Linked DNA regions of Pelodiscus sinensis. The protein of the gene in region 2 purifies or fractionates together with the protein of the main gene of each other region. This does not show direct contact. Links are inferred from orthologs where the notes say so. Each region holds a gene or a part of one and is shown on either strand. Other genes may lie near its edges.

Evidence for each region.
Region 1: the proteins of RPP30 (region 2) and RPP25L purify together in Homo sapiens (co-immunoprecipitation; 3 studies listed by BioGRID and IntAct, counting the BioPlex papers as one, with this or other methods). This does not show direct contact. The link is inferred for Pelodiscus sinensis from reciprocal best matches to the Homo sapiens genes RPP30 and RPP25L.
Region 3: the proteins of RPP30 (region 2) and POP1 purify together in Homo sapiens (affinity purification with mass spectrometry; 5 studies listed by BioGRID and IntAct, counting the BioPlex papers as one, with this or other methods). This does not show direct contact. The link is inferred for Pelodiscus sinensis from reciprocal best matches to the Homo sapiens genes RPP30 and POP1.
Region 4: the proteins of RPP30 (region 2) and RMP64 purify together in Homo sapiens (affinity purification with mass spectrometry; 3 studies listed by BioGRID and IntAct, counting the BioPlex papers as one, with this or other methods). This does not show direct contact. The link is inferred for Pelodiscus sinensis from reciprocal best matches to the Homo sapiens genes RPP30 and RMP64.

What each region holds. Positions count from the first base shown.
Region 1 is NC_134716.1:127,360,841-127,368,636, forward strand, and holds the start of RPP25L (ribonuclease P protein subunit p25-like protein), read right to left. Parts: upstream 3,281-7,796; 5' UTR 3,144-3,280; intron 2,458-3,143; exon of another isoform or gene 1,929-2,457; intron 1,607-1,928; exon of another isoform or gene 1,589-1,606; intron 1,504-1,588; 5' UTR 1,495-1,503; coding exon 937-1,494; 3' UTR 1-936. UniProt on the Homo sapiens protein: May be a component of ribonuclease P or MRP.
Region 2 is NC_134718.1:40,357,232-40,364,788, forward strand, and holds the start of RPP30 (ribonuclease P protein subunit p30), read left to right. Parts: upstream 1-4,318; 5' UTR 4,319-4,394; coding exon 4,395-4,476; intron 4,477-5,869; exon of another isoform or gene 5,870-6,146; coding exon of another isoform or gene 6,147-6,186; intron 6,187-6,322; exon of another isoform or gene 6,323-6,428; coding exon of another isoform or gene 6,429-6,480; intron 6,481-7,557. UniProt on the Homo sapiens protein: Component of ribonuclease P, a ribonucleoprotein complex that generates mature tRNA molecules by cleaving their 5'-ends. Also a component of the MRP ribonuclease complex, which cleaves pre-rRNA sequences.
Region 3 is NC_134712.1:37,841,633-37,848,872, forward strand, and holds the start of POP1 (ribonucleases P/MRP protein subunit POP1), read right to left. Parts: upstream 3,312-7,240; 5' UTR 3,311-3,311; coding exon 3,165-3,310; intron 2,525-3,164; exon of another isoform or gene 2,392-2,524; coding exon of another isoform or gene 2,255-2,391; intron 2,149-2,254; exon of another isoform or gene 2,021-2,148; intron 486-2,020; coding exon 340-485; intron 1-339. Other genes in the region: RIDA (2-iminobutanoate/2-iminopropanoate deaminase), read left to right, coding at 3,477-3,541, 5,196-5,301, 6,104-6,158. UniProt on the Homo sapiens protein: Component of ribonuclease P, a ribonucleoprotein complex that generates mature tRNA molecules by cleaving their 5'-ends. Also a component of the MRP ribonuclease complex, which cleaves pre-rRNA sequences.
Region 4 is NC_134711.1:148,120,871-148,128,752, reverse strand, and holds the start of RMP64 (nucleolus and neural progenitor protein), read right to left. Parts: upstream 3,218-7,882; 5' UTR 3,188-3,217; coding exon 3,088-3,187; intron 1,088-3,087; coding exon 933-1,087; intron 1-932. Other genes in the region: protein spire homolog 1-like, read left to right, coding at 5,704-5,932. UniProt on the Homo sapiens protein: May play a role in cortex development as part of the Notch signaling pathway. Downstream of Notch may repress the expression of proneural genes and inhibit neuronal differentiation thereby maintaining neural progenitors.

The DNA.
Region 1 (7,796 bases), on a different chromosome or scaffold from region 2:
AAAAAAGTTCAACATATTAATCTGTTCCTTCTCAGTCACAGCTGAACATGCTCAGGTTTCTGCCTAGAGCGATGCCTCAAGTTCAGTCCTCTAAATGTTACTAATGGCTTCGGCAAAAAGAGGAAAGGACAGAGACAAAATTTCTGATGTAAAACTCAAGAGGGATCTTTATTTTAAATTCTGCTGTATGAATCATAAAGGAGTAGCAGAAGGAACACAGTTTTAGTGTTGGCATTCACTATGAACAACTGTGCCGAACACTTACACAGAGCTCTGTCAGTGTGATTTCTACCAATTAGTATATCCGCACAAAATCCCTGTGGTGCCCAACGTTCCCCATTCAGTCACTGCCAGAGCTGAGATCCAGGGATCAGCAGAACATAGCCAAAAAAGGGAAACAGAGCCTAAAGGCTCTGTTAGGAGGTCCAGTCTAATAAAATGCCATTGCAATTGGGAAAGCCAAAAACATCCTCAACTCAGAGTTCTATCCCATAGCCTTCCACCCTTTCATCTCTAACACAGATGCATGGCCCAGTTCCATCTTCCAAGTAGCATCCAGGGCAGCTGAAATCAGCTCCATTTAATGCACATTTGTTTTGGCCTCAGGACTCCTGGCAAATTCCCTATTCTTCATTAAGGAGAGTTTGGGCAATTCTGGGCTACTTTCTTTCACTAGTAAGCCACACGCAGCAGAGTAATCACCATGCAGGTCTTCAGCAAGACGACTTGTCAAGACAGACTCCAGACTTGTTATGAGAGGAATGTATTTGCCACGCTATGGCCCTGTTTCCACATGCCCCTTTTCCCTCTCCCACTTGTGCTAGGTTTCAGCTCTCCTCTGCCAAGGAGTTCAGTCACTATTTGGTGGCAACAGTTGAGCAGGCTTGTTTTTTTACTCCTGATGCCATTAAAAATGGCTTTGGATACGTCTCCGTCTCAAGGCTTTTTGTACAATTCGCCACGTCCTCCAATAGATCTTGGATGCTTTCCTGTGTGGCCAGCCCCCCTTCCTCCACCCTGCTTTCTTTTAGTTTGTGCTTGAGACTCAGCTTTGAGTGTTTCGATCCAGAAGGCATCAAAAGAGCCTGGGGCCTGATAGCCAGGCTCCTGGGGATCTAGTGCATCTTTGCTCAGCAGGACACAAATGGCAGGAATATTTCTCTTCACTGTCAAGGCATCTAGACCTGCCTCAGGGACAATGGGCTCCCAGATCTCTTCAGTCTGTTTGAAGAGCACTTTGGTGATTTGGTGAAGTTCCTTGAGCCTTCGCTTCATGATTTCCACACAAGTGATAGTCTTGCTGACAGCTTTGCCAGAGCCAGTGAAGAGGATCTGCCTAACCGAGTCCGACTCCATCTTGCCGATGGCATAACCCATAAGATTTCTGATTTTGCTGCCATCCTTCACCTTCATCTCGATAATATCTGAAGGCAGGTTGGTGAACGGAATGGGAAAGGGCTTCTCCACAATCTTGGATTTCTTATAGTTCTCCATTATGCACCACTGTAAATGAGAAGAACCAGTATCAATGCATGCTTCTAATTATTATTCACAAAGGCACGGTATTTAATTTCACAGGCTATATTACCTGACTGATAAAAAGTTGAGTAGAATCCACTTTATTATTAATTTGTATTACCATAGCACTCAGGCGACCCAGTTGTGGACTGGGCCCTCACTGTGCTAGATTCCATAGCAGTGGTTCTAAACTCAAGTGGCCACAAGCTGTCAGGACTGCTTGATGCACTGAATACTATCAGAAGCTACCCCGTAGGGCTGAAGCTCTGAGCCTCACACTTGTAAGGATAAAGGCGTCAAGCCCTTTTGTCTTCCAAGACTCTCCCAGTCCCAAGGGGCAAAGCCCCTTCCTCCCAGCTGAAGTCCAGCTGTGCACACTTACATGCACACACACAGAGCCTCTTACTCACGTTGCTTAGATTTGCCTGAAAAGGATCGTGACAGTTTTAGGCACCTCTAGCTACATGCTACAGAAAAATACATACTGAGTTTTAGGCCCAAACACACCCAAGACCTCCACTTTATGTAACTCCACTTAGAAATGTCATTTGCCCAATTAAATGAAATTCTCCCGTCTAAGCTGCTACTAGATACTGGAGTTTGACATTTTGGAGTTAGAAAAGACAAAGGAGAAAGAAGAGAAAACATTACAAAGAGCAATTTAGTAGTTTAAAAAATTCAGTAATAAATAGCAGGTTGGCTTGGATTAAAACTATTTCGTATATTATCTGCAATCCAAGCACTGCTTGTGTGTGGATGGCACATGGGAGTCAGAATCTGAAAGTAACTGATCTAGTTTTGCAGCCCCAAATGGAGAGACATGGCAAAGCTAAACAAATAGCATCACTGATGAAATGCAGGAGCTGAACGAGCTCAGGAGCTGTTAGTAGCAGGAAAGGAAGGACTGTTATTTTTTAAGTCAACGGGACGTTGCCTCATTGGAACAAGAGGAGTTGGGAAAGATACGGGGGGGGGGGCTGGGTGGACAGATGTGGGGTCAGTGTCTGAAAGGGGGGAAGGGGGATGACGGGATCCGAGGGCTACATGCCGGGTGGGGGCGGGGGGGGACGGGCCGGGGGGGGATTCTGCTCGGCGGGTGGGGGCGGGGGGGGACGGGCCGGGGGGGGGATTCTGCTCGGCGGGTGGGGGCGGGGGGGGACGGGCCGGGGGGGGATTCTGCTCGGCGGGTGGGGGCGGGGGGGGACGCTGCCGGGGGGGGGATTCTGCTCGGCGGGTGGGGGCGGGGGGGGACGCTGCCGGGGGGGGGGATTCTGCTCGGCGGGTGGGGACGGGGCGGGGGGGGACGGGCCGGGGGGGGGATTCTGCTCGGCGGGTGGGGGCGGGGGGGGACGGGCCGGGGGGGCAGGGAAGAGCAACCTCGGCCCAGCGCGGCAGGGGCCTGGGGGGCCGCGGGGGGGGGCGGCCCCAGGGCGGTGGGAAGGTCCCGGGGGGGGGGTCGGGCTGGGTGTTTACGGGTCTCGCTAATGGGGGGGTCTGGCTGGATGCGGGGGGCGGGGCTGCCCGCTCGGAGGCGCGGGGGGGGGGGTGACGGGAGGAGCGTGGGAGGGGCCGGACCTGGAGGGGTTACTGGGGGGGGGGGAAGTGGCCGCCCGCCCCGCGCTCACCCTTCCCGGCCGCCGCACGCGCCGCCAGCCCCGCCGCCAAGATGGCGGCTCCCCGTCGCGCGGGGGGTGACGTCACGGGGGCGCGCGGCGCCGGGCCCGTAACGGCTGCGGCGCTCTTGGGAGTCACGTGAGCAGCTCGCGCCCTGCGTCGGTCGCCCTCACGGCCCGTGGCGCGCGAGGGTCACGGGGCCCAGGCTCGCCCCCCCCCTCCCCGTGACATCGGCGGCTGCCATGACGACGTGCTCCGACGTCACTCGGCGCGGCGGAGGGTGGGCGTGTGAAAAAGCCACGCGCGGAACGGGAAGGGGGCGGCGCGGCTCGAGTCAGTGGGCGTGTCCGTGCCGAGCGTGGCTTGTGACGTCAGCGGGGTGCCCGGGGTTCGGCTTGTGAACGGGACCAGGCTCTGCAGCGACCCGCTCCAGCTGGCCCGGCTCTGTGAGAGCCCAGATCCGCGAGCGGGTGCCAGGCCTGCTCTGTGCCGGTTCGTCTCCTGCCCTAGGGCCTGCCCGGGCGCCCAGTATCCACGGCCAAGGGGCACGCCTGGCCCTTGATGGCAGAGATCCCTGCGTCTCAACTTCCTTTTTACAAAGTGCCCCTTTTTTAAAAACAAAGAACAGATCTATACGGACCCCGGGACCTGTAGTTTCCAGACACACAACAGTTCTTTCTACTATTGCAACACATTTGTTTGAACAACTTATTTGTAGCTGGGTGGGCGATGACATTTTTGGGTGTAAACAGTAATACAAAAATAATAAAACGCTGTAAAACTTAAAACAAAAATTCAGTCTTCTCCACTTTTCAGTTGTGTTGATGTAGCTCCCCCTAACTTCTCTCGAGTAGATTGGATGGATTGCACCCTCAGCAAGTTTGCGATGACACTAAGCTGGGGGGAGAGGTAGATACGCTTAAGGGCAGAGATAGGGTCCAGAGTGACTTAGACAAATTGGAGGATTGGGCCACAAGAAATCTGATGAGGTTCAACAAGGACAAGTGTAGAGTCCCGCACTTGGGATGGAAGAATCCCAAGCATAGTTACAAGCTGGGGACCAACCAGTTAAGTAGTAGTTCTGCAGAAAAGGACCTGGGGGTTACAGTGGATGAGAAGCTGGAGATGAGTCAACAGTGTGCCCTTGTAGCCAAGAAGGCTAATGGCATATTAGGTTGCATTAAGAGGAGCATTGCCAGCAGATCCAGAGATGTCATTATTCCCCTTTATTCGGCTTTGGTGAGGCCACATCTGGAATATTGTGTCCAGTTCTGGACCCCCCACTACAAAAAGGATGTGGACACATTGGAGAGGGTCCAGTGGAGGGCAACCAAAATGATTAGGGGGCTGGAGCATATGACTTATGAGGAGAGGCTGAGGGACTTGGGTCTGTTTAGTCTGCAGAAGCGAAGAGTGAGGGGGGATTTGATAGCAGCCTTCAACTTCCTGAAAGGAGGTTCCAAAGAGGCTGGAGAGAGGCTGTTCTCAGTAGTGACAGATGGCAAAACAAGGAGCAATGGTCTCAAGTTGTGGTGGGAGAGGTCCTGCTTGGATATTAGGAAAAACTATTTTACTAGGAGGGTGGTGAAGCATTGGAATGGGTTACCTAGGGAAGTAGTGGAGTCTCCATCCCTAAAGGTGTTTAAGTCTCGGATTGACAAAGCCCTGGCCAGGTTGATTTAGTTGGAATTGGTCCTGCCTAGAGCAGGGTGTCACATTACTGGAATTTGAGGGAAGCAGCCAGATCATGGCTGCACCCATAGGTGGGGGTGCTGGCCCCAAAAAAGATATAAAAGGGGGCCATGTGGGGTGTTGAATGGGAGCTTACTGTTTGCTAATCCTGTGTACGCTATTTATGTGAGTGTATAGTGTCTATGTGTATAGGTAAGAATCTGTGTGGAAGCTGAATATTTCTCTGAATGTGGTTGAGCATTGGGCAGAGCCTGGCCTGTGGACATGCTAATTAGCGAGGCCCTATGGGACAATGGCACTCAATGGGCCAAGGACACACCTAAAGCATGAGGGCGGAGACCTAAGAGCTGCCAGGAGAGAGAGACTGAGGGCCAGGTGACCGGCTTCAGCCAAGAAGAGGTCAGGAAGGAGGTATAAAGAGGCCATGTGGGGGACTCCATTTTGTTCTGAGCTTGGCACTTCATCCCAGAGGCAGCATTGCAGGGATCGAAGAGCCCGGAAGACCTGTGAACCCATCCTGATGCTAGGATGTGCAACAAGAACTTTTAAACCAGCAGCTGTAACATCTCTGCTAGAGCCTGCATCGAGGACTGGGAGATTCGGTGCATGTAACGTACTATTCTTTAACAACCTTACTCTCATGCTTTTCTTTCTTGTGATGATAAACCTTTAGATATAGATTCTAAAGGATTGGCCCAGCGTGATTTGTGGGTAAGATCCAGAGGGTAAATTGACCAGGGATCTGTGGCTGGTTTCTTGGAACCGGACAGAACTTGTTCAGGGTAGGTGGGATTGGGTGCTAGGACCCCCCCACCTGTGTATAGGCCCGGGGCCATCTGGGGCACGGATATTGCTGGGGTGTCGGAGGGGTTTTGCTCATGAGGCTTCAGGCAGGCTGCTGAAGTGCTCTGTGGGACTGGTTTGTGGCCTGTGTTGAGAGGTCACCAGTCTGGGGGCTGTAAGGAGCCCCGGATTTGAGCAATTCAGTCTGAGCAGACGCCCTCAGCTGTGCCCAGACACGACCTGGTCAATCACACAGGGGGCTGGATTTGATGACCTTCTGAGGTCTCTTCCAGTTTTATGGTTCTATGGAGTACCCCAAGGGTACTCGTACCACTCATTGAGAAACACTGGCATAGGTCACATTGGTGGATGTGCCATTGTGTGAGTCTCTGATGTGGCAGCAGATGTGGTTGGGCCTGTGATAGTGTCACTTGTGTAGTTGCGTGGACAGAGTTGGCAGCGGAGTTGATTGCAAGGATGCATTCCTGGGTGAGTATGATGGACGGGTGCTGCATGGTGGCTGGAAAGAATTTGTTTGAGCTTCAGGGGTTGTCTGTAAGCAAGGATTGGCCTGTCTCCTGTGAGGGGTCATTTTCCAAGATAGGTTGTAGATTGTTAATGATGCACTGGAGGGGGTTAAGTCGGGGGCAGTAGATGATGATCAGTGGTGTACTGTTGTTTTCTTTGTTGGGCCTCTCTTGAAGAAGTTGATGCCTGCGTACTCATCTGGCTCTGTCAATCTGTTTTTTCACTTTTCTGGGTGGGTATTTAAGTTTTAAGAATGCCTGACAGAGATCCTGTAGAACAAGGTGTGTGTCTCTGTGGGACTGGAGCAAATCCGGTTGTATCTCAGGGTCTGGCTGTAAACAGTTGATTGGGCAATGTGTCTGGAATGGAAGTTAGAGGCATGTAGGTAAGTGTAATTGTCAGTAGCGGTATAAGGTGGCGGAAAAGTGGCCATCATTGAATTGTACTGTAGTGTCAAGCGGATCTCTTGTGTGGACTGGTCCAGGCTAAGGTTAAGGGTGGAGTGGAAGTCGTTGAAATTCCTTTGGAATTCTGCAAGGGTCTCCTTCACCGGAGGTTACCATGACAACATGATGTGACATCACTGGGCAAGGCTATTTGCAGGTGCGATGTCAATGGTTACCATGATAACTGATTGTGATGTCACTTTGGGCGGAATATAGGCAGGTGTACCGCCAAAGGTTGCCAAGAGAACAGATTGTGACCACACAGAGCAAGGCTGCTTATAGGCTGGCCCGGGGCTGGGACAGACACATACAAATGGGAATGCTGCTCCTTTCAGGAAATAGCAGCCTGACTTCCAAGTCCGCTGGGGTGAGCTGGGCCCAGCTGTGAAACGGCTCCTAGGGCTGCTGCCTGGCCCTCTAGGACAGGAAGTGACCGTTGAGTCTACTGAAAAACGGAGAGTCAGTCCAGGGAACAGACAACAGGCTGGAGACGACAGTGGCTGGGGAGCTGTGAGATTTGGGTTTTATACCTGTCTCTGCCACCATCTTGCAGCATGATTTTTGGAGAAGTCAGTTTATCGTCCTGTGCCTAAGTTTCCCCCTTTCTCATCTTTTGTCTGATCTATTTAGATCTTAGGGTAGGGACTGCTTCTAGCTATGTGTGTGTGGATATACCCAGCACAATGGGGCCCTAAACTCAGTTTGGGGCTGTGGGTATGGCAATGCAAACAGTAAATGATAATAGTGACATGTCCCCCAGTGTGAATCTGGCCAGGACATTAGAGTTTATCTATCCCACTCAGAGCAAAATATCTTCAGAGAAGACAAGTGTTTAGGACCTTTTGGTTTTACATTTGATTTGAAAGAAGGCACTTTCATCCACCACATGGCCCAAGATCTTGACCCTGGTACATTCGTTCTGTTCTAATGGAGAAAGAAAAGCACCAAGTACTCAATCATCACCTACTTCAGCAACTTTGGATGTATCAAAACTAAGTACTGACGTAGAGACCATCTCCGCTACAGCTCTTACACCGGCACAGCTACAGCCCTGCAGCTGTAGTAGACACTTCATACTTTCCTGTTGTTGTAGTTCAGTGGTTCTCAACCTGTGGTCCGTGGACCCTTTGTGGTCTGCAGTGGTACTGCAGGGGGTCCGTGGAAAATTTAAAAATAAGGATCCCAATCTTCCCCCCCCCGGAAGAGGGGGGGCTG
Region 2 (7,557 bases):
TAACCAAGAGAGGAAGGAGCATCTTCGCGGGCAGGCTTGCAAACCTAGTGAGGAGGGCTTTAAACTAGGTTTGTTGGGGGACGGTGACCAAAACTCTGAGGGGAGTGGGAAAGTTGGATATCGGGAAGAAATTCAAAGAGGAACAAGCAAGAGAGGAGGACCCCTGATTCAAATGGAGAAGATAGGGCAATCAACTGGTTATCTGAGGTGTTTGTACACTAATGTGAGAAGCCTGGGCAACAAACAGGAAGAACTGGAGGCCCTGGCCCAGTCCAAGAAATATGATTTAATTGGGATAACAGAGACTTGGTGGGATGACTCGCATGACTGAAGCGCTGTCATGGAAAGGTGTAGACTGTTCAGGAAGAACAGGCAGGGGGGAGAAGGAGTTGCACTATACGTAAGAGAGCACTATGATTGCTCTGAACTCCAGTATACTGAGGGAGAAAAACCTGATGAGAGTCTACAGGTTAAGTTTAGAGGTACAAACAACAGCAGTGATGTTGTGGTTGGTGTCTGCTACAGGCCACCGAATCAGGTGGATGAGGTAGATGTGGCTTTCTTCGAACACATTAAAGACTAAGGGTACATCTATACCAGCTTCCAGATTGCAGGCCCTGGTTCTTGTGGGGGACTTTAATCACCCTGACATCTGTTGGGAAACCAATACGGCAGTACACAGGCAAACCAGGACGTTTTGGGAGAATGTTGGGGATAACTTCTTGGTACAAGTGCTGAAGGATCCGACCAGCAGCCATGTGCAGCTTGACCTGCTCACAAACAGGGAGGAACTAATAGGGGAAGTAGAGGTGGGTGACAACATGGGAAGCAGTTATCATGAGATGGTAGATTTCAGGATCCTGACCAAAGGAAGAAAAGAGAGTAGTAAAATACACACTTTGGACTTCAGAAAAGCAGATTTTGACTCCCTCAGAGACCTGATGGGTAGAATCCCCTGGGATGCTAACATAAAGGGGAAAGGAGTCCAGGACAGCTGGCAGTATTTTAAAGAAGCCTTATTGAAGGCACAGCAAAAAACCATCCCGATGCATAGCAAGAGAGGCAAACATGGTATGAGACTGGATTGGCTTACAGGGGAAATCCTTGGTGAACTTAAGCACAAAAAGGGAGCTTTCAAAAAGTGGAAACTTGGACAAATGACCAGGGACCAGGGTTTAAATGTACAGCTCGAGAATGCCGGGGGGTTATCAGGAAAGCAAAAATGCAAATGGAATTGCGACTGGCAGAGGATGTGAAGGATAATAAGAAAGGTTTCTACAGGCATGTTAGCAAGAAGAAGGTGATCAGATAGGGCGTGGGGCCCCTACTGGATGGAGTAACCTAGTGACAGATGATGTGGGGAAAGCTGAAGTACTCAATGCTTTCTTTGCCTCTGTATTCACGGACAAGATTGGTTCCCAGACTAATGCGCTAAATGACACAAGATGGGATGAAGAACAACAGCCCTTGGTGGATAAAGAACAGATAAGGAACTATTTAGAAAAGCTAAATGTACACAAATCCATGGGTCCAGACTTAATGCATCCGAGGGTGCTGAGGGAGTTGGCAAATGTCATTGAGGAGCCTCTGGCCATTATCTTTGAAAAGTCATGGAGATCAGGAGAGATCCCAGATGACTGGAAAAAGGCAAATGTAGTGCCCATCTTCAAAAAAGGGAAGAAGGACAATCCAGGGAACTATAGCATGGTCACCCTTACCTGGTTCCTGGAAAAATCATGGAAGGGATCCTTAAGGAATCCATTTTGAGGCACTTGGAAGAGAGGAAAGTGATTAGGAATAGTCAGCATGGATTCACAAAGGGCAAGTCGTGCCTGACCAATCTGATTAGCTTCTATGGTGAGGTAACTGGCTATGTGGACATGGGAAAGTCAGTGGATGTGATATACCTTGACTTTAGCAAGGCTTTTGATACAGTCTCCCACAATATTCTTGCCAGCAAGTTAAGGGTATATGGATTGGATAAATGGACTATAAGATGGATAGAAAGCTGGCTAGAAGGCCGGGCCCAGCGGGTAGTGATCAACGGGTCAATGTCAGGATGGTGGTCGGTTTCTAGCGGAGTGCCCCAAGGTTCAGTTCTAGGACCGGTTTTGATCAATATCTTTATTAATGACCTGGATGAGGGGAAAGATTGCACCCTCAGCAATTTTGCAGATGACAGTAAGCTAGGGGGAGAGGTAGATACTCTTGAGGGCAGAGATAAGGTCCAGAGTGACTTAGACAAATTGGAGGATTGGGCCACAAGAAATCTGAAGAGGTTCAACAAGGACAAGTGCAGAATCCTGCACTTGGGACGGAAGAATCCCAAGCATTGTTACAGGCTGGGGATCAACCAGCTAAGTAGTAGTTCTGCAGAAAAGGACCTGGGGGTTACAGTGAATGAGAAGCTGGATATGAGTCAATAGTGTGCCCTTGTAGACTAATGGCCTAGTAGGTTGCATTAAGAGGAGCATTGCCAGCAGATCCAGAGATGTCATTATTCCCCTTTATTCGGCTCTGGTGAGGCCACATGTGGAGTATTGTGTCCAGTTCTGGGCCCCCCACTACAAAAAGGATGTGGACGCATTAGAGAGGGTCCAGCAGAGGGCAACCAAAATGATTAGGGGGTTGGAGCATATGACCTATGAGGAAAGGCTGACAGAGTTGGGTCTGTTTAGTCTGGAGAAGTGAAGAGTGAGGGGGGATTTGATAGCAGCCTTCAACTTCCTGAAGGGAGCTTCCAAAGAGGATGGAGAGAGGCTGTTCTCAGTGGTGACAGATGGCAGAACAAGGAGCAATGGTCTCAAGTTGGGGTGGGAGAGGTCCAGGTTGGATATTAGGAAAAACTATTTCACTAGGAGAGTTGTGAAACACTGGAATGGGTTACCTAGGGAAGTAGTGGAGTCTCCATCTCTAGAGGTGTTTAAGTCTTGAGTTGACAAAGCCCTGGCTGGGTTGATTTAGTTGTGAAACACTGGAATGGGTTACCTAGGGAAGTAGTGGAGTCTCCATCTCTAGAGGTGTTTAAGTCTTGAGTTGTCAAAGCCCTGGCTGGGTTGATTTAGTTGGGATTGGTCCTGCCTAGAACAGGGGGCTGGACTTGATGACCTTCTGAGATCTCTTCCAGTTCTATGATTCTATGATATTTATTTGGGCATAAGCTTTTGTGGGTAAAAACCACTTTGACAGATGCATCCTGATATTTTCTGTCAATTTGAATGCTAGTTTGAGGGTGAGGTTCACTAACAGTGGTTAAAATGTATTAATAGAATATGTAAAACCTATATAGTTATTTATAAACAACAGATTACATTTTAAACGTAATCTGTCAGAAAATGCTGTATCTTAAAAACAATTATCCCCTTTTGTTGACATTTTCAATGTTCTGATGATGCCTCAAATAATTTCATTGGTAATAATTCAGTTGAATAATATAGCTGCTCCATCTAGTGGCTACAATGTTGCTCTCTCCCGGAAATAAAGACCTCACCTTGTTTCAACATTGTTTCTGAAAAGGATTCCACCTCTACAACATTTTTACATATATATGGAGCTACAATGTAGCTAAGAGCCATGTCATTTGTTAGGGGGCTTTCAGGGGGCTATCAGGGTTCAGAAAATCTGGGATTCACTTTTCTGGGCTTCTTTGCAATGTGTCTCTGCAGCTGAGGGTAGCAGCACCACTAGCTCAGGGATCCATGTAGGGCAGGAAGCAGGAATAACGTAGCCTATACACCACAAACACACACACTCTCACATCCCGGGCTCCACGCGATGCTGCCACTTTGAAACACCATGGGGACCATGGGGACCTGGCTCTCTCTCTCTCTCTCTCTCTCTCTCTCTATATATATATACACACACACACACACACACACACTCTCTCTCTCTCTCTCTCTCTCTCTCTCTCTCTCATATCCCGGGCTCCACGCGATGCTGCCACTTTGAAACACCATGGGGACCTGGCTCCAGGTTTCAAGCAGCGGCTGCCGCTTGGAAGTACCCCCTCCACTTCCCCCCTCCCTTTCTGCCTCTTTCTGATGGGAGACAGCAATGGGGGAAGTGACTAGTTGACTAGCTTGTGGTGTATCCCATAAGCATTTGCTTATGGGATAGTCGACGAGTCCTTCACATCCCTAGGCAGGGGCCATGCTGCGAGGCTGCGAACCCCAGGCCCAGGCTGGCTGCCCCGGGGCGTGCGAGCACAGGGAACCTGCCCCTGGGCGCAGCTGGGAAGGCTGGGTTGCACGGGCCCGCACGCACCGCCCGTCCGCCACAGCAGCGCGGGAGGCTGGGGGTGCAAACTACAACCCCCAGCATGCCTTGGGCGCAGCCTACGTGGAGGTGCCAGCGCCGCCCTGCCGCTGAGGCTGCTGGCACCACGTGGTGGCAGCATGGCCGTGTTTGCGGATCTGAACGTCCCGCGCGCGCCGGACCTCAAGTCGCTGCAGAATTTGCTGGAGGCCGCCGCGCACCGTGAGTACCACCCCCTCCCCCCCAGGCGCCGGCCAGGTCCGCGCGGCTCTCCCAGCCTGCCGGGCGCTGCGGGCTCGGGGCGAGTCGCCCATTGGCTGCTGCCCGTGCAAGAGCCGGGGTGGGCGCTATCCAGCGGTAGCTCGCGTGCAGGGGTCCCCCCATTGCCGGCCTGTCTTGGGGCGGAGAGCGCTGCTCCCCGCCCCGTTGGTAACCCCTGGCTCTTGGGCAGGCAGCAGCAGCCTGAGTGTTGTGCAGCACAGAAGTGAGAAGACAGATCCAGTTCTCATGGGGAGCTGGCTCTCTATGGGCCCCCACCCTCCATGCTGTCTCTGATACAGAGGAAGCAAGGTGGGAAGGAAATGTGCGTGGTCAGCAGGATCAACTGAGAAGCCTAGACTTATCGGTTAATCTGTAGTCGTCTACACATTGGCATCTTTAATTGGCATCACTTCATTCATTAAGTTAACATCTCTCATGTGGGACTGGAAAGCAGGGGTGGAAGTAACTTAAAATTTCTTACAGGTACTGTCCCGTCCCTGCCAGCTCTTTAAATAGCTCCCAGCTGGCTTTTGCCACAGCTTAGCCTTCTCTTGCTGAAGAGCTGTGCATCAGGGTGTACCTGCTTACTTTTACCTCTGCTGGAAAGATAGCCTGGCTAATTGTTAAGTATCAGAGGGGTAGCCGTGTTAGTCTGAATCTGCAAAAGCGACGAGGAGTCCTGTGGCACCTTATAGACTAACTGAAGTGTAGGAGCATAAGCTTTCGTGGGCAAAGACCCACTGCATCTGACGAAGTGGGTCTTTGCCCACGAAAGCTTATGCTCCTACACTTCAGTTAGTCTATAAGGTGCCACAGGACTCCTCGTCGCTTTGGCTAATTGTTGTGATAGTTCCAATGAATAAGCCGGTTTAAGCGTATCCTTTCTGTCATGGTAGATGTGCACTATTTCTAGTAAAACCTCTCTGTCCTGCCCAGCTTGGGACTTTTTTGTTATGTAGCTTTCTCAGCACAGGCTGGAGCCCTAACTCTGAAGCCAGCAAGGTGGAGAGTCTCACTGGATTTTGGGCTGGAGCTAGAGTCTGAATGTTTATATTACTATTTTTAGCTCTGCAGCAGGAGCCTGCGTTAGTTGACCTGTGCGCTGATTGTATAACTACACCACAGTTTTAAGTCCAGCTGGTCTGTGCCAGTTGACTCTCACCTTAGGGTAAAGGGCTGTTTATATTTGTGATCTAGACATTCAGGCTTACGCTGGATTTAGGGAAGTAGGAGATTAATGGGTTAACTGATAAGATGAGATTTATCAGTTTCTGTTAATGGTTTAACAATGCCTAGGATCCCACCTACCAGCTGTGTGCCTGAAGCTCCTCCTAGCTGCCAGTCTGGTGCCCAGGGTTCTGCTGCTGCCATGCCTGGGGTGCTACGGTTACTTGCTTTCCTGGCTGCTGCACCTGGCATCGTAGAACCCCAGGTTCCTGTGGGCTGCCAGCCCCTCTGGTCTATGAACCCCACAGCTGGGCTCTGGCCTGACGGCTGGGGTCTGTCAATCATCCGCTGCTGCGGCCTGGGATGCTGGCTACTGGCTCTGTACCTGTGATTCTGCTGCCACTTGGCATCCTGGCGTTGCCAGCAGCTGGGGGGCGAGCAGCTGGGACCCCTTGCACACCAGGATGCCTACTGAGGGCAGAGCCTTAGATGTGGGGCCATCAGGTAAGACCCTGGTGACAGGTGCTCCTCCGGTAGCCTTCCATAGCCTTGTGTGTCAGAGTAAACGTTTGACTGGGAACTGATAGAATTTTGGTTGGTTACACTGTTTTTGTTTTTGTGTATGATTTTATATCCCCAGGTTGAATCCTAGGACCCTGTAGGGTAGAAGGGTGCCAGAGCTCAGGCAGCTTGAACCCAAATGTCTATACTGCAACTAAACAACTTTGTCTGAGCCCCACAAGTCCATGGCCATGTCTACATTAGTACTTACATCAGTAAACCTTTTGTCACTCAGAGGTATGAAAATAACACCCCTGTGAATGGCTAAGTTTTGCCAGCATAAGTGCTCATATCCACAGTGCTGTGTTGGTGAGAGACACTCTCCAGCTGACATAGTTCAGAGAGCAGCAGTAGTTGGTTTTATGATATCAACAGAAGACCTCTATCCTGTCAACATAATACAGCTACATGAACACTCTTACAGCAGCACAGCTATGTAAGTGTAGACATGGCCTAAGTCAGCTGGCACAGGCAAGCTGTGGGTTTCTAATTGTAGCATAGATATACCCCAAGACTCTTTGCAGTGGGATGCTTTTGTATGTGTTTGGGGTCTTTTTTTCCCCTGAGAAGAGACATATCCTGAGGCACTAGTACTAGAAGCTCTTGTGTATGTGCTCTAACATTATGGTGCAAGTCGTCTTACTGACTTCCATGGGACTACTGTGTGTGTTCTTACAATTCAGCATCTGCATAATTGTTTGCAGGACAGCAGCCATAAGTCAGTGGCACAGCCATGGGCATGTGCATGGCACCACAATATGCCAACATCTTTATGGCTGACCTTGAACAGCGTTTCCTCTGTTCTCGCCCCCATCACCCTTACTTTACTTACGCGACATCAATGACATCTTCATCACATGGATCCATGGGAAAGAGACCCTGGAAGAATTTCACAAGGATTTCAACAACTTCCACCCAACCATCAATCTCAGCCTGGATCAGTCCACACGAGAAATCCACTTTCTTGACACTACAGTACAATTAAATGATGGACAAATTTCCACCATCCTATACGGGAAACCTACTAACTGCTACACTTACCTTCATGCATCTAACTTTCATCTCAGACACATTTCTCAATCTATTGTATACAGCCAAGCGCTAAGATACAATTGGATTTGCTCCAATTTCACAGATGGAGGGCAAACATCTACTGCTGTGGTTCTCAACTGGTGGTCCATGGTGACTTTCTTGGTGGTCTACAGGAACATTGTCCACAGGAACATTGTCCAAAGTCACAAGGCGTGAGCAGATGCCGCCATTAGGCTGTTTTAAGCTGTGTTCACAAGCCATAGCATCACCTAGGATTCAACC
Region 3 (7,240 bases), on a different chromosome or scaffold from region 2:
ACACCACAAAATGAAAGAGAAGTAATTTTTTATTCAGATCTAGTTTTAGTAAGCTTATGTGATCCTTTTAAGAAGCAGTCCATTTAAAAAGAAAAAAGAAAGAACTGACACTAAGGTCATGGCATCTCTTAAAGTGCAAAAAACCTTGCAAGAGCTGGTCCTAAAAATGTTATGCTATCAGTTCATCTCTTTATGAACACTTAATTTACCTACATAGGTGATGAGAGGAAGAAGTGCCATTGGTTCCAAAGCATTAAACCCTGACCCAAAAGACAAGAGTGGGGAAAAAGATTATTTGTATTCAATAAATGTTGAAAATGAAATTCACACATCTCAGACCTTGTTTTGGAGTTTGAAAAGATCTACTTCCACCATTATGGTGCTGTATTCCACTATGACATGGTCCATAATCAGAAGATAAGGTGACACTGGAAGGCTGATTTCTCATTTTCTTGGCACGTTTCTTCTCTCTTGCATTAGACATTCTGGGGAAAAAAAGACCATCAGTACATGTACTCTTCTTCCACGTGGCCTTTTCTACACACTCAAATTGTACCTATACACCAGTACAATTAAGAGGTACAAGTTCCCCACATATTGCTGCAGTTCTATTAGTATAAAGGTGTTTTACGCTGTAACAACTAATCCAGTAGGTCAGGAGAAGAGCAAAAGGTTACAGTAGTACAGGCAGTCCCCGGGTTACGTACAAGATAGGGACTGTAGGTTTGTTCTTAAGTTGAATCTGTATGTAAGTCGGAACTAGCTTCCAGATTCAGCCGCTGCTGAAACTGACCGCCAGTTCTGACTTACATACAGATTCAACTTAAGAACCCCAAGTCAGCTGCTGCTGAAACTGATCAGCAGCTGATTCCAGGAAGCCCGGGGCAGAGCAACTGTGCCTCGGGCTTCCTGTAGTCAGCGCTGGTCAGTTTCAGCAACGGCTGAGTTGGGGACGTCTGGGGCAGAGCAGCTGGGGTGCTGCTGGGTTGCTCCAGTAGCACCGCTCCTCAGCGCTACTGGACCAACCCAGCAGCACCCCAGCTGCTCTGCCCCAGGAGTCCTGATTCAGCCGCTGCTGAAACTGACCAGCAGCGGCTGAATCAGGACGCCTGGGGCAGAGCAGTTGGGGTGCTGCCGGGTTGGTCCAGTAGTGCCCAGAGCGGCGCTGCGGGACCAACCGGCAGCGCCCCAGCTGCTCTGCTCCAAGGTCCACAACAAAAGCCTGGTCTGCTGGGGGGGGCGGGCACACTAGCTGCGCCCCCCCCAGCAGACCAGGGACACAGGGAGCAAAGTGGCAGCGGAGGAGGGGGGGGTGCCTCGCCTCTGAGGCTTTGCTCTGGCGCCGGACCGCTTTGCTCCCGGTGCCCCTGGTTTGCTGGAGACGGTCCCCAGCAGACCAGGGGCACCGGGAGCAAACCCGCAGCCGCGGCGGGGTCCCCGCGCTTCTGAGGCTTTGCTAGAGCAAAGCCTCAGAAGCGCGGGACCCCCCGCGGCTGCGGGTTTGCTCCCGGCGCCTCTGGTCTGCTGGAGACGGTCCCCAGCAGACCAGGGGCACCAGGAGCAGCTTTTCTCGCCCGCTGACCGCTGCCTGTGAGCTCCGGGGCGAGAAAGCCCCGTTCGTAGGTGCGGATCCGACATAAGTCGGATCCGCGTAAGTCGGGGACTGACTGTATAAATAAGCTTTGCAGAATTCAATGTTAGCTTAATTTCAACAGGTGTTAGTTTTTAAACATTTTTAGTTTGTATCAATTTAAATTTTCAGTTCCACAAAGTTATGGGGGGACTCCAATTCAATGAGAGTAAATGACAAGATTCCAAATGTTAAAGCTTTGTAACCATTAGAAGACAAAATCAACATCACATGGCAAAATATACCAAGTAAATATTCTTAAATCAAATTAAGTTATCATGCATCATTTTTCTAACTTTTGCTATCTATAAATTTCAGTTATCAATGGAAATGTTGCCCGTGTGTGTTAAAATCAATACTTACTGACATTTACAGATAAAAAAAACTAACCTTGCCAAACTTAGATGTAACACACCTTTAGAGAGAAATGCAGCTGCATCAGAAGCTGGATCAATTAGCAAGATCTAGCAGAATAGTTTTATTGGTACAAAATCAGTGTGCACAGAAGGCATAAAGGACTAGAGAAATAAAATGGAAAACTGCAAGCAGTCTCAAAACAATCCAGCCACGGCACAAAATAATTATTGACGGGTTTGTCTGCATGCTCTATAACAACTGGCTTACAAGCTATGACCATCCAAACCGAACTTCCTCTGCTGCTGAACGGGTTGGAGCACGGCACGCGGCAGGTGCGTTTCCCCTGGAGTGAGGAGGCCGGGGGAGGAGGGGTGCACGGCGTGTCCTGACTCGGCGGGTCTCATGCTACAACTCAGCACAGCCGGCGGGCGCGAGGACTCGCTGCTGGGGAGCTGTACTGCCGCATCCCACAGGCCAGCGCTGCAATGCAGGGACAGGGCGCCCAGGGTGCACAGCGGGGGGGAGAGTCCCCCCCAGGCACGGCGGGGGAGGGGGCGGGGGAGGGAGAGTCCCCCCCCAGGCACGGCGGGGGAGGGGGCGGGGGAGGGAGAGTCCCCCCCCAGGCACGGCGGGGGAGGGGGCGGGGGAGGGAGAGTCCCCCCCCAGGCACGGCGGAGGAGGGGGCGGGGGAGGGAGAGTCCCCCCCCAGGCACGGCGGAGGAGGGGGCGGGGGAGGGAGAGTCCCCCCCCAGGCACGGCGGGGGAGGGGGCGGGGGAGGGAGAGTCCCCCCCCAGGCACGGCGGGGAGGGGGAGGGAGAGTCCCCCCCCCAGGCACGGCGGGGAGGGGGCGGGGGAGGGAGAGTCCCCCCCCCCCCAGGCACGGCGGGGAGGGGGCGGGGGAGGGAGAGTCCCCCCCCCCAGGCACGGCGGGGAGGGGGCGGGGGAGGGAGAGTCCCCCCCCCCCAGGCACGGCGGGGAGGGGGCGGGGGAGGGAGAGTCCCCCCCCCCAGGCACGGCGGGGAGGGAGCGGGGGAGGGAGAGTCCCCCCCCCCAGGCACGGCGGGGAGGGAGCGGGGGAGGGAGAGTCCCCCCCCCCAGGCACGGCGGGGAGGGGGCGGGGGAGGGAGAGTCCCCCCAGGCACAGCGGGGGGAGGGGCAGGCACGCCCGGGCGGTACCTGGCAGCGGGGCCGCCCCGCGTGGGAGCAGCCTCCTTTGGCCTCTGTCCCTGTCCCCGGCGGCGCGCGGCTCCCTCGGCCTCGCTCCCAGCCGCAGCAGCCCGGTCGTACCCGCCTCCAGCCCCTAGCGCCGCATCTCCCAGCATCCTCCCCGGGAGGGCCCCCCCCCCCCCGGTCCTCTAAGGGAGCATGCGCAGTTCGGGGCTGTGCACACACGTGGGCGGGGCTGGACTCCTCCGCTCCCAGAGCGAGACGGGCAGCCGGTCCGCAGGCAGCGCAGCGCGGGGTCCCCGGCGCGTGACGCAGGCAGCCATGGCCACCCTGATCCGGAGAATCATCAGCACCCCCGGGGCGCCGGCCGCCATGGGCCCCTACAGGTAACGCGCCGGCGGGAGACTCGCTCTGCCTGGTGCTGCAGCCGGCAGGGGCAGGAGTCCGGCGCGGGGCCGTAGACTGGCCCAGGCAGAACTTACTGGGGGGGCCGCGGCAACACAGGGGACAACGTGGAGGAACTTCCCATTTAGTCTGGCGGCCCGTGAGCCTTGCAGAAGAAGTGGGACTTTAGGGTGGACTTGAAGGAGAAGATGAAGACTTCGTGATCTGGGCTAAAGACACAATTCGGCCCCTTGGGAGGTGTGGGAAGGGAACAGACACGGAGATGGGGAAATGACAGCAGATATTTTGCAATGAGGAAAATGTCCACAATATTATTGGAAATTCATTATTTTTAATTATCACTGAATATATGTTAATTGTGCCTGTGGCTGCGTAATGATAGGTTTATCTGCCTGCATTATGAAATTCTGTTTTCAGTCTCTTTATGAGAGTGAATACAAGCATTATTACTGGGCAGTCCTATTTCAGTAAATCTTTTGGCATTTACATAATGTTTTGCGGTGGGCTTTGAAGTCTTTAATTGCATGCTTGCTGTCCGAAATAACTGGGTGCTGTGCCAGCAGCCTTATATTCTGTGGCAATCAAAATATGCTGAATTTGCTGAGACTGGAGCATAAATCCCATCAGCACACTTCAGCAATAAAGCCAGAGAGCAGGTGTGCAGAATTTGCATTCATGACTGTAATCAACTTAAAGCTGATTTGTCAAGCAATGGCCAACTAGTGACTAAAAATGTGGATTTAATTTACTGTATTAGATTTCTGTTGAATATTAAAAGCATGTCTTTTTAAAGCTCCTAGGACACCAACATTAGCAAGCCCATGCAATCTGATAATAAATAAAAATAATGCGGGAAGTTCCCATAAGTCTTCCATGGTCTGTGTGTTTTTTGGAATGACCCAGTCCTAACAATTACATATTGCAGTCATGTGGCTTTAAATAATCAAAACCCTTGGTGGTATGTCCAGTAAAAAATAAAAAGCTATCAGCTGCCAGGGCTTAGTCTACTTTTTTTGTAAATCTGTGGCTTGTCATTTTATTTGTATTTTTGGTATCTATTAGAGATGTTAGCATGTAGGCAATTACTTGATTAACTAATAAGTCTGGTCTTATTGGTTAACCATAATGATCACACACACACACACACACACACACCTCTATATCGGCAGGGAAGGGGGGAGTAGGAAGCCGATACATGACACGAGCTCTGTAAGAACATTTATAATGCTTTTTCATTTATAGATCTCAAAACTTCTGACAAAGAAAGCATTATCGCCATTTTCAACTGAGACACGAAGACTCCAGCCACGTAGAGCCCTTCATAGGTAGAGGGCTGCTTCAGCCTCACAGGACTTGCAGGCAGCCCCAGTCCATAGTGGAGGGGGAGGCTGGCCTGGCTGGGCCATGGTGGGCAGGTGTCTGCTCCAGCCCAGCTGGGCTAGAGTGGCATCCCCGCTTGCTCTATTTACTTTAACTGGTTAAACATAACATTTAACCAGTTAACTAATTAAATGGGATTTTACGTCCCTGATTTCCACAAGGGGCTTGCTCAAAATAGTGTATAGTTCTGAGTGGTTGGATGGAAATGAGATTTTTCGGGATGAGCTGTAAATATATGTATGGCTTATATTGCAGTCAAGCAGTACTGATTGATCGGACAATGTATATCGCAGGACAGCTAGGCATAGATCCTAGAAGTGGTCAGCTTGTACCTGGAGGGGCAAAAGAAGAGGCTAAACAGGTAAGAAGTTATCATAAGTCTCTTAACAATACATTTTAATACTTGAGTGACTTAGTATTTGGCCTGTATTTAGTCGCTAGAGCTATTCACCGAGAACAGAGAAGCCCAAATATGAAGGCTGCAGTGTTGGAGATCATTCTACATAGCAATCCAGGAAGCAGTGGGGAGGGATAAAGTAGCTGAAAATGCCTCCTCCTCAGTCCCCACCAGAAATAATGTAAGGGTGAGGAGGAAAATAGTGAGAAATCCTCATTTCCGGAATCGGGGGGGGAAATGTGCTTTAAATTTAATTGGACAATTACTTACTGTTTTCAGTATTGTATTCTGAAGAAGAGTTCTGAAGCTCAAAAGCTTAGCCCGTCCACCAGCAGAAGCTGGTCCAATAAAAGATATTATCTCACTTACCTTGTTATTCATTAGACACTTATGACAAAGATTAAGCCTCAATCCAGACCCCAGGAAGGGGATCTCAATACAAATCCTAGCAGCTAGGAGGGCCAGATGGCTTACTTGTCAAGCCATTGCTTCTGGACCTTGTTCTTTTGCAGTGGGGAACTTTTCATCTTATGTATGTGGCTTTTTGTGATTTAAATCAAGGAATAAAAATAGAAGGCCTGCTGGAAGCACAGTCACTACGTGAGATGATTTGTAGCCTACCTTTCTTTTCACTTGTCTAATGAAAAGGTTGGCTGCTATCTGAGGTTGTCTGGAGTAAACTTTGATAGCTACAGTTTGAGGTGCTGGTATGTAGAGAAGCCATAGCTTAATGTCAGTACCTCAAGACTGCTTTTCTTTTCAATAGGCTCTAAAAAATATAGGGGAAATCCTGAAAGCTGCAGGCTGTGACTACACCAATGGTGAGTGCCTACATAATAGAGATGTCCAAGTATTTAATTTAGAGAAGAAAACAATGTGACTTTCTAAAGGGGGTCTTGTTAGATATGCAGTTGGTGATTATAGCTGTGTGATAGAAAAGAAAATATGATTCCAGGCCCAAGGATTTTAAAATTGAAAAAGACAATCCAGGGAAACTCAGGGAAATACTTTTTTTTTTTTAATTTGAGACGTGTATGCTTAGCTGACTTGCCCCAAACTACTGGCTAGTGATACTATTGTTTTCAGCCTCATCTGTGCAGCTGGCACTTTCATCATCTTGTCCTCTAACCCAGAGCTGGTCTACAGGAACTGGGATGAGATTCAGAATGGTATTTAGATGCCTATTTCCCTTTGGCTTCAAGGTGCCTAAATACCTTTGTATATTCCACACCTGGGGCTTACAGTGCCAGTTACTGCCCACACCAGGGCTATGTCTACACTGGCGGCTTCTTGCGCAAGAATATCTTGCACAAGGGTTCTTGTGCAAGAAGTCTTGCGCAATAAAACATCCACACTGCCATGTGCAGGCCGTGCTTTTGTGCAAAAGCGCCCATGGCAGTGTGGACGCTCTCTTGTGCAAGAAAGCTCTGATGGCCATTTTAACCATAGGGCTTTCTTGCACAAGAAATCCCTGCTGAGCCTCCACACTGCCCTCTTGCGCAAGAGCTCCTTTGCAAGAGGGCTTACACCTGTTAATAAAGAGCATAGCTCTTGCGCAAGAAGCCCTCTTATCACTCCATACTGTAAATCTTCTTGTGCAAGAGCCGGTGGGCAGTGTGGATGCGCTGCTGATTGTTGCACAATATCGGCCATACTTGCACAAGAAGCCGCCAGTGTAGCCATAGCCTAATGTTATAACGAGTGGTCCTGTGGCACCGTAGAGACTAACCAAAATATATGGGATCATGAGCTTTCTTGGACAAAACCCACTTTATCATATTAATTGGAGTGGAAGTTATAACAGTGGAGTTGAAGCTCACATTAGCAGTGGAAAGGGCAGAGGGGGGAGAAGCTTAAAAGAGTAACAAAATCATAGCAGAGACAAAGCCTTGGAAAGGCAGTG
Region 4 (7,882 bases), on a different chromosome or scaffold from region 2:
CAGAATGCTTCATTAGATAGAACACCACCACTTTTAAAAAATATTGAGAATATTCAGCAAAAATATTCAGCTTCACTTTTTAACGACCCCTTAAAAAAAAACTCAGTTCTTTCTCAAGGATAGCTTGCAGAAGTTGTCTTTCAAAGGCAATTTTTGGATTATTTACCCCATCCATTATAAATGTACCACCACTGTTTGTATTTCTATTCTTAATGAACTCTAAGAAGCATGAAATGGATAAAAACATCTAATTAGATTTATTTAACATCTTAATTTGAACACAAAGATTCTGAATATTGCTCTTATGGAAAAAAAAGTGACACTTCTCAATGACCACAAAAGAGTAGGAAAAGGTTCAAAAAACCCAGTGGGACTCACTCACAGGCTACATCTAGACTGCAAGCCTCTTTCGAAAGAGGCTTTTTCGAAAGTATCTTTCGAAAAAGCCTCTTTCAAAAAAGAGCATCTAGACAAGAAGATTTTTCAAAAAAGCGGCTCACTTTTTTGAAAGAGTCTAGACACTCTCTTTTGAAAAAGCCCTGTTTTTATGCAATAGCGCCTTTTTTCAAAAGATGACTTTCGAAAAAAGGCGTTATTCCTCGTAGAAGGAGGTTTACTGCCGTCAACAAAACCGTCGCGTTCTTTTGATTTACTGTCGACAGAACGCGGCGGTAGTCTAGACACAGGTACTATTTTTTCGAAAAAAGGCTACTTTTTTTAAAAAAAACCTGTAGTCTAGACACACCCACAATGTCTTAAAAACAAGTGAAGAGTGTTATGAAACTACCAAAATCCACGTTTGGAATAAAAACAAGCCTGGCAAATTTCTTCTTCAAAAGAAAGTTTTGAAAAAACTGCAGTGTACTTCTAACTGAGATACACAGAAGGCTCCTTCCAAGCATAATTATTTCAAGCAGCTTCATCTTACTGACCTGTTTCAGAGACAAATAGGTTTTATGGTGAGACATTGAGTTGTGGAAACCATAAAGGATTGAATGTAAAACTTTTCCTTCTGCATCCACAGCTTTACTGGTTAGCAACGTGTTGACCTTGTAACATCCTGTAATAACAGCTGGAAGACATTTCACTGGGGGGGAGAAATTGAGACATTAAAATAGTTGTTTTTGAGCTTCATACAAGATAAATCATATTAGCACCACATAAATGTATAAAAACCCATGTGACAAAGCACAAGGACCAAAGAAACACACCTCATAAGCGCTAGGGACTACTTGTCTGGCTTTCAATTTGAACAAATACCAGTTTGTATTTCTTGCCTGCAATACATTCTTTTAGTCCTTACTTATGCCACGGTGCAGCTGCCCCAGCCCAGAAGCAGCCACACTGTGGCCTGGCTCCAGCTCCAGGGCAGTGGCCCACCACACAGCTCCACCGGACCATGCTCTGATAGTTGAGTAGCCACTCAACTAGTCGCTCTCCCCCCTCCCAGCTGCCTCTATCAGAGATAGGCTTTAAGCCATTTCCCCCCAGCACTGTCTCTGCAGGGGGCAAGGGAGGTAGAGTCACAGCGGGGAAACAGTATGAGTGGGGACTGCTTCAGTCCCCACTTGCACCAGTTCCCACTGTGGGAGCTTCTGCTTTTGAAATGTACAAGATCCCTGCAGGGCTCTTGTACATTTCAAAAGCAGAAGTGCCACACAGAGCCTGGGGCAAGCAGGGACTCAAGAAGTCTCTGCTCACCCTGTGCTCTCTGCAGCAACCTCCTATAAGAGAGGCAGCATGGGGGGAAGGAGGAGCTGGTGCTTGGGGGAACTGGATTAAAAGCTGGTTCCCCCCGCACCGTCTCTGGGGTGCTGCTTGCCCACACCGCTGCCTCTATTAGAGACAGCAGGGGAAGGAGAATAGGGGACGCTGCTGGGAAACAGCCCTTCTCCACGGGGGTCCCAGCAGGGAGCCCGGGCCACCACAAACAGGGGCTAGTCTGGTACACAGGGGTGTCTGCCGTGAACAGGGGCTACTGGACACAGAGTGAGCCAGGACCAAGCAGTCCTGGCTCGTGCGGATCACTGCTGCTCTGCATTTTAAATGTAGCAAGAGCCAGTTGCTCTTACTACATTTAAAATGCAGAGCAGCAGCACAGGTGGCCCCAGAGCCGGCTCCTGGAACTACCTCCGCTGTGGCTCTGAACAGCAGTGCTTATTGACTAATTGTATAATCGATACAAATTGTATCGACTATTCAGTTAGCCAGATCATTGCATTTTAACATCCTTAGCTGGGACTGGGGCCACAGTACAGCTGACCAAGAAGGGACAACCCCACCATGGCCCGGCTCCAGCTCCAGCATACGGGGCAGCGGGGATGGCCAAGAGAGCCATATTTTGGTGCCATACTGAGCCATAGGTCTCTGCCCCCTGCTATAACACATGGAGGTTTCATTAAAACAGAATCGTAAGTAATTTACTTCTCCCCACTTTTTCTGTTTTCCATTCCTCAGAGTTTGGACAGCTCAACAAGCTTAGGCAGTATCACTAGGACTAGTCTAATATATTTGGATTTGTGTTCTTAAAACTGCAAAGGAATAGAAATAAAAAGGTGGCGAGTTGGGGGAGGGTTTTTTTTTAAAAAAATATAAATCACAATCACTTCTAGTTTGGTTCTGCTCTGTATTTAAACCACAAACCCACAGAACTCTGGGACTGATCAAGCCCTTACAAAAAAAAAAAAATCTATTCCCAGATCCTTGACAATGCCAGTGACACAAACGCGTCGTGCAATATGTGCCGGGCTGTTTCAGAGCCACAGAGGATATGAAACACGTCAAAGATGCTTCAAGTTTGCAGACAGGAAAGGCAAAAGCTAAGAGCCCCGCACGTGGGGGTGGGCGCGTGGGGAGTTCTCCACAGATGCTGCAGAGCCTGTTTGCTCAGTTCTACTCTTCTCCCCCCCCCCCACTAGCCCCCAAAGCTGCTTTTCACCCCACCTCCCCCCCAACCATCCCTCCACTGCTACCCTCTGGCCCCTGCATCCTCCCAGCGCAGCCCCCCCAGCCAATGCTCTCCCATCTCCCGGCACGTGCTCGCTTTTCCCCGCACCCCTTCCCCAGCGCTGCCCTGGGCCCGGCCACCTGCGGGGTCTTGGGCCGCCACGGCCACCGTAGCGCAGCTCGCCGGCCACGGCACATGCCAGCGGTTCCACGCTGCCTCCCCCGCCATGGGCGCCGCCATCTTGCCGAGGGTGGGGGGTGGCAGGAGAGTAGCGATCAGGGGGGCGGAACTACAAGCGCAGGGAGGCGGGACGGAACCAAAGCGGGCGCGTGGGGGTGGGCGGGGAAGGTGGAACCAAGTGGTCTGGGCGGAGGCAGGCGCGCGGCGCGCTAGGGGGGAGCGGAGGCCGCTGGGGTCCGTAGCGCAAGGCGCCGGCTCCCGGAGGCAGGGGGCGCAAGAGGGGCCCCCTTGCAAGCCACGCCCCGGGGGAGCCTGAAGGCTGGGCTGGCGCAGGGCCCCTTAGTCTGTTGTTGTTATGGGTCTCCTGTCTCCTGGTTTTGGGGGGGCTTGAGGGGTGAGCCCCAAGGGCTGGGAGCGCTGCTGAGATCTCTCCAAGGTGCACCCCCTTGGCTGGGATCCTGGCACAGCGTTGCCCAGGGACCTGCCCTTTTTGGTGCCCGTCCCAAGCCTTGTCTCTTGCTGCCACTAGGGTTGCCAGATGGTTTCAGAAAAAATACAGAACAACAAGAAAAAAAAACATGCCAGGAAAAAGTGTGTTGAGCAAAAAAAAAAAAAAAAAAAAAAAAACCCCACCATGGCCCCTTTTAAAAATTGCATGGTGAGGCTTTTTTGCCCTAACAGCTTACCGGTGGCCGCCCACTATCTTGCCTCCCTATGCTGGGTCAGAAAGCTCCCTAGTAAGCACTAGGGTTGCCAGGCTGCCTCCATACTGAATCAGACAACCTGGGGGTTTTGCCTCCTGGCTGGGAAAAAAATCAGAAAGTACTGGACATTTTAGGTGTCCAGTATTTTCTGAATTTTTTTACTGGACAGGAGATGAAAATAACAGACTGTCCAGTTCAATACCGGACACCTGACAACCCTGGCTTCCACTTCCCATCACAGCTCAAAGCAGTGGCCAGGCTGTGCCAGGAGAAGAGGTGCACAATTACAGACAACCCTTCACTGTCCCCATGAGCAGTGCCACCATCGCCACACACACCATCACATCCCTTTTGAGATGTAGGGGCTCGCCATGTGCCTACCACAGCATGTGGTGTGCACCTCACCTCGGGCACTAAAACCCAAATAACAACAGCTATGGGATGATCATGACACGGCATTCGTATGGGGAAATGATAAAATGCAAAAACATCACTTCATCTCTGTGGGAATGCCTGTGATCCACCCACATTACCTCCTAGCACAAGCATCCAGCCACCTCTCACCAAAGTGGTGCAAAACCTGGGGGCCCTGTCTATGGGAGAGGGAGCTGGAACAAGCTATACAGGCAAAAGTGCAGGGCTACGTCTAGACAGGCATGATTTTCTGCAAATGCTTTTAACGGAAAAGTTTTTCCGTTAAAAGCATTTGCGGAAAAGAGCGTCTAGATTGGCACGGACGCTTTTCCACAAAAGCACTTTTTGTGGAAAAGTGTCCGTGCCAATATAGACTTGGTTTTGCGCAAGAAAGCCCCGATCACCATTTTCACCATCGGGGCTTTTTTGCGCAAAACAGTTTTTAGTTGTCTACACTGGTCCTCTTGCACAAAAACATTTCCGGAAAAGGGCTTTTGCCCAAACGGGAATGTCAAAGCATTTGCGCAAGAAGCACTGATTTCAGACAGTAGAACATCAGTGCTTTTGCACAAAATCAAGCGGCCAGTGTAGACGGCTGGCAAATTTTTGCACAAAAGCAGCTGCTTTTGCGGAAAAACTTGCCAGTCTAGATGCAGCACAGGAGTGTTTTCCCACATTAGGAGTGTTTTATCACTGTAGCTATACCATTAAGTCACTGCTAGGGTAAGCATAGCCTTACCTTTGGGTGATCAGGAAGCATCAGTACTGAACAAAAAGAAAATCCTTCTTCCAGCTGCAGCTGGTTAAGAAACTACTCCTTCCCCCAAGATGAAGAGTTGGCCAGAGTGAGCCATGTGTCCTTTACCTTCAGGCTCGGAAATTGTAACTCTCAGTTTCTGGGGCTGAAAGTGGATAAAATGCACAAGCTCCAGCTTGTACAGAATATGGTTGCCTGGCTTCCTCATAGGACAGGCCTCTGAAAACACATCACTCTATTTACTGTCTACTGGTACAGAGGTCTCTTCCAACATCATTGATTCCCAGGTGTCTCCTTCCCACCAAGTATGCAAATTGCACCCCCACCAACAATGATTTTTTTCTTTTTCCATGCTGAATCTAAATTTTTGGACCCAGGAGTCATATTTATTCTCATTACAAACCTGATGAAGGCAGTGGAGTTACACTCAGACATTAATTTTTCGGGCTTCTAATCTTTCAAAATGCCTTTTAATTTTTTTCTCTCTGTCTTCAGTCACTGATGCTTGTATAACTAGAGAGAAGATGATGAAAGTAAAAGTGTCCCTTTAAGAAGTTGTAGCCTTAAGTAGCTCTAACTGGTTTCACCTGAAGGAAATATAAGGCAGAATGGATAAAAACTGCCAAAAACACCTACAGCTGTCTGAGGATGTAAAATAGCCTGGGCAAAAGCAAGTATATGGAGGGTAGTGAAAGTAAAAAATGGATTATTCAAGATGTCAATGGAATGTTACTAAGATCTCTTTGGGAGAGTTTCTGAGATGTTGTGACCAGCCCATAAGTGAGGAGCAAGCCTGGGCCCTTTGCTTTCAATGTTGTTATGAAATGAAGCAGCTGATTCAGGACTCCCACCCTGTAGTGATTAGAGGTCTGGGAAGCATTCTTATCCACTCTGATGGTGTTGTTTCCTTCACGGTGGGTCCTAAATCTGGTAAGAATAAAGGCAGCAGTAGGTGGGGGTTTTTAAACAAAAATCTTCTTACTCTGATAATCCTATAGGGTTTTTTGCCTGTGTTAATATAATATACATAAATGTGATTGTCTCTGAAATGCTTTCCGTTGTGAATCCCATTAATTCCTCTACAAATAGAAAGCTAACTTGTGATATGTCCTGGTGTCTCTGAACCTAATATCTATGCTCCTAATGTGAAGGGCTGTGTTCTCCAAACCAATTAGGGTATCTACAGAGACTGGAGAAGAGATGTTGGGTAGGAGCATTATACCAGTAATGTTTCTGATATTTTAACTATCAGGTGAGAAGCCAAAGTTTTGGGGTTTTAGTTCTGCATTTGCTGCTTTTCCCAACCTGTAATATGGGGATAAAATACTTTTCTAATTTACGGGAATGCTTTGAAACTCAACTACTGTTTGTAAAGTATTTTTGCCAAAAAGTGCTATAGAACTGTAGCTGATTATTCCTTCCCCCTCCTCTATGATTCTCTATTGAATCACTCAGGGTTTTTTTGTCGGGGAAGGGGAATAACTTGGACGAATTACCGAGACAAGGAATTCTGGCTTCTGGAAAAATGACTGTCTTCCACAATATGGATGCGCGCACACACACACACCCATATTATTTGTAGGGTGACCAATTGCCCTAACTTTGTAGGGACAAAAGCTTCAGAGGGGTAGCTGACTTAGTCTGTAACTGGAAAAACTTAAAAAAAACCCACATAGTCTAGTAGCGCCTTTTAAAGACTAACAAAACGTGTAGAGGGTATCATGAGCTTTGGTGGGTATAACCCACTTCTTCAGATGACTGGAGTGTTGAAAGTCTAGATCCAAGAATAAATAAGGGAAGGGGGGGTGGACAGGAGGAAAAATAAGACAGTGAATAAATTGTTCAAGTAGTTACAAGAGTCTGATAACCAAACAACAATGGAAGTACTAATTGTTCTTAAGTCATTAGGATGTGGAAGGTAGTGTGGGAGCCAATACTTCTGTTCATTCCATGCTGATAACTTAATTTACAAGTTTGTCTTAAATTCCAACTCTTCCCTGTGCATTTGGCTTGTGGAATTGACCTGAAACAACACGGTGACTTGGAAATCCATTAATGAGTGCCTGGGCAGGTTAAGTGTTCTCCAAGAAGTTTCTGTGTGTTGACTTTTTGGGTTGACTTTTTGGGTATCTGGTTTGTGTCCGTTAATGCTTTTCAGTAGAGGCTGGCCAGTTTGGCCAATATACATGGCAGTGGGGCTAGCGTTACCAGGTAGACCCTCTCCCCTCCCCCCAAAAATACCAGACACACTTGATCATGGGCAGGGGGAGGCACCTGCCAGGAGGGGGGCGGGGCTGGCAGGGAGGGCAGGGGCCATGGGGCTTGCCAGGAGGAAGGGGAGGTGGGAAGCAGATCTTGGAGGGATCAGGGGCCGGGGGAAGGGCTGGACAGTAGAAGGGGGGGCCAGAGGAAGGGGGGGTGGGAAGCAGAGCTGGGGGGGGGGGTGCAGCCACTGGCCGCAGCTGGAGTCTAACAGGTCGCACCCCTGGCAGGAACTCCCTCTAGTTGCTAGTAGAAGCCGGACAGGGCTGGGAGCCGCGCCCCCTTCCTGGCTTCTGCACGCAACTAGAGGCTCCCAGCTGGGAGGCGGGGCCACGATTGGCACTGGGAGCCTCCGGTTGTGTGCTGAAGCTGGGCGGGGAGAGTGGCTGGGAGTCCCAGCCACTGCCTGAGCCCTGCCCTGCTTTTGCATGCGACCACAGGGCTCCCAGCGCCAATCATACCCCGCCTCCCAGTCGCTCCCCCACCACCGCCAGGCTTCCGTCCAGCACCTAGCCAGAAATTCAGAAAATACCAGACATTGCATGTGTCCAGTATCTTCTAAATTTTTCTACCGGACAGATGGTGCAAATACTGGACTGTCCAGTAGAAAACCGGACA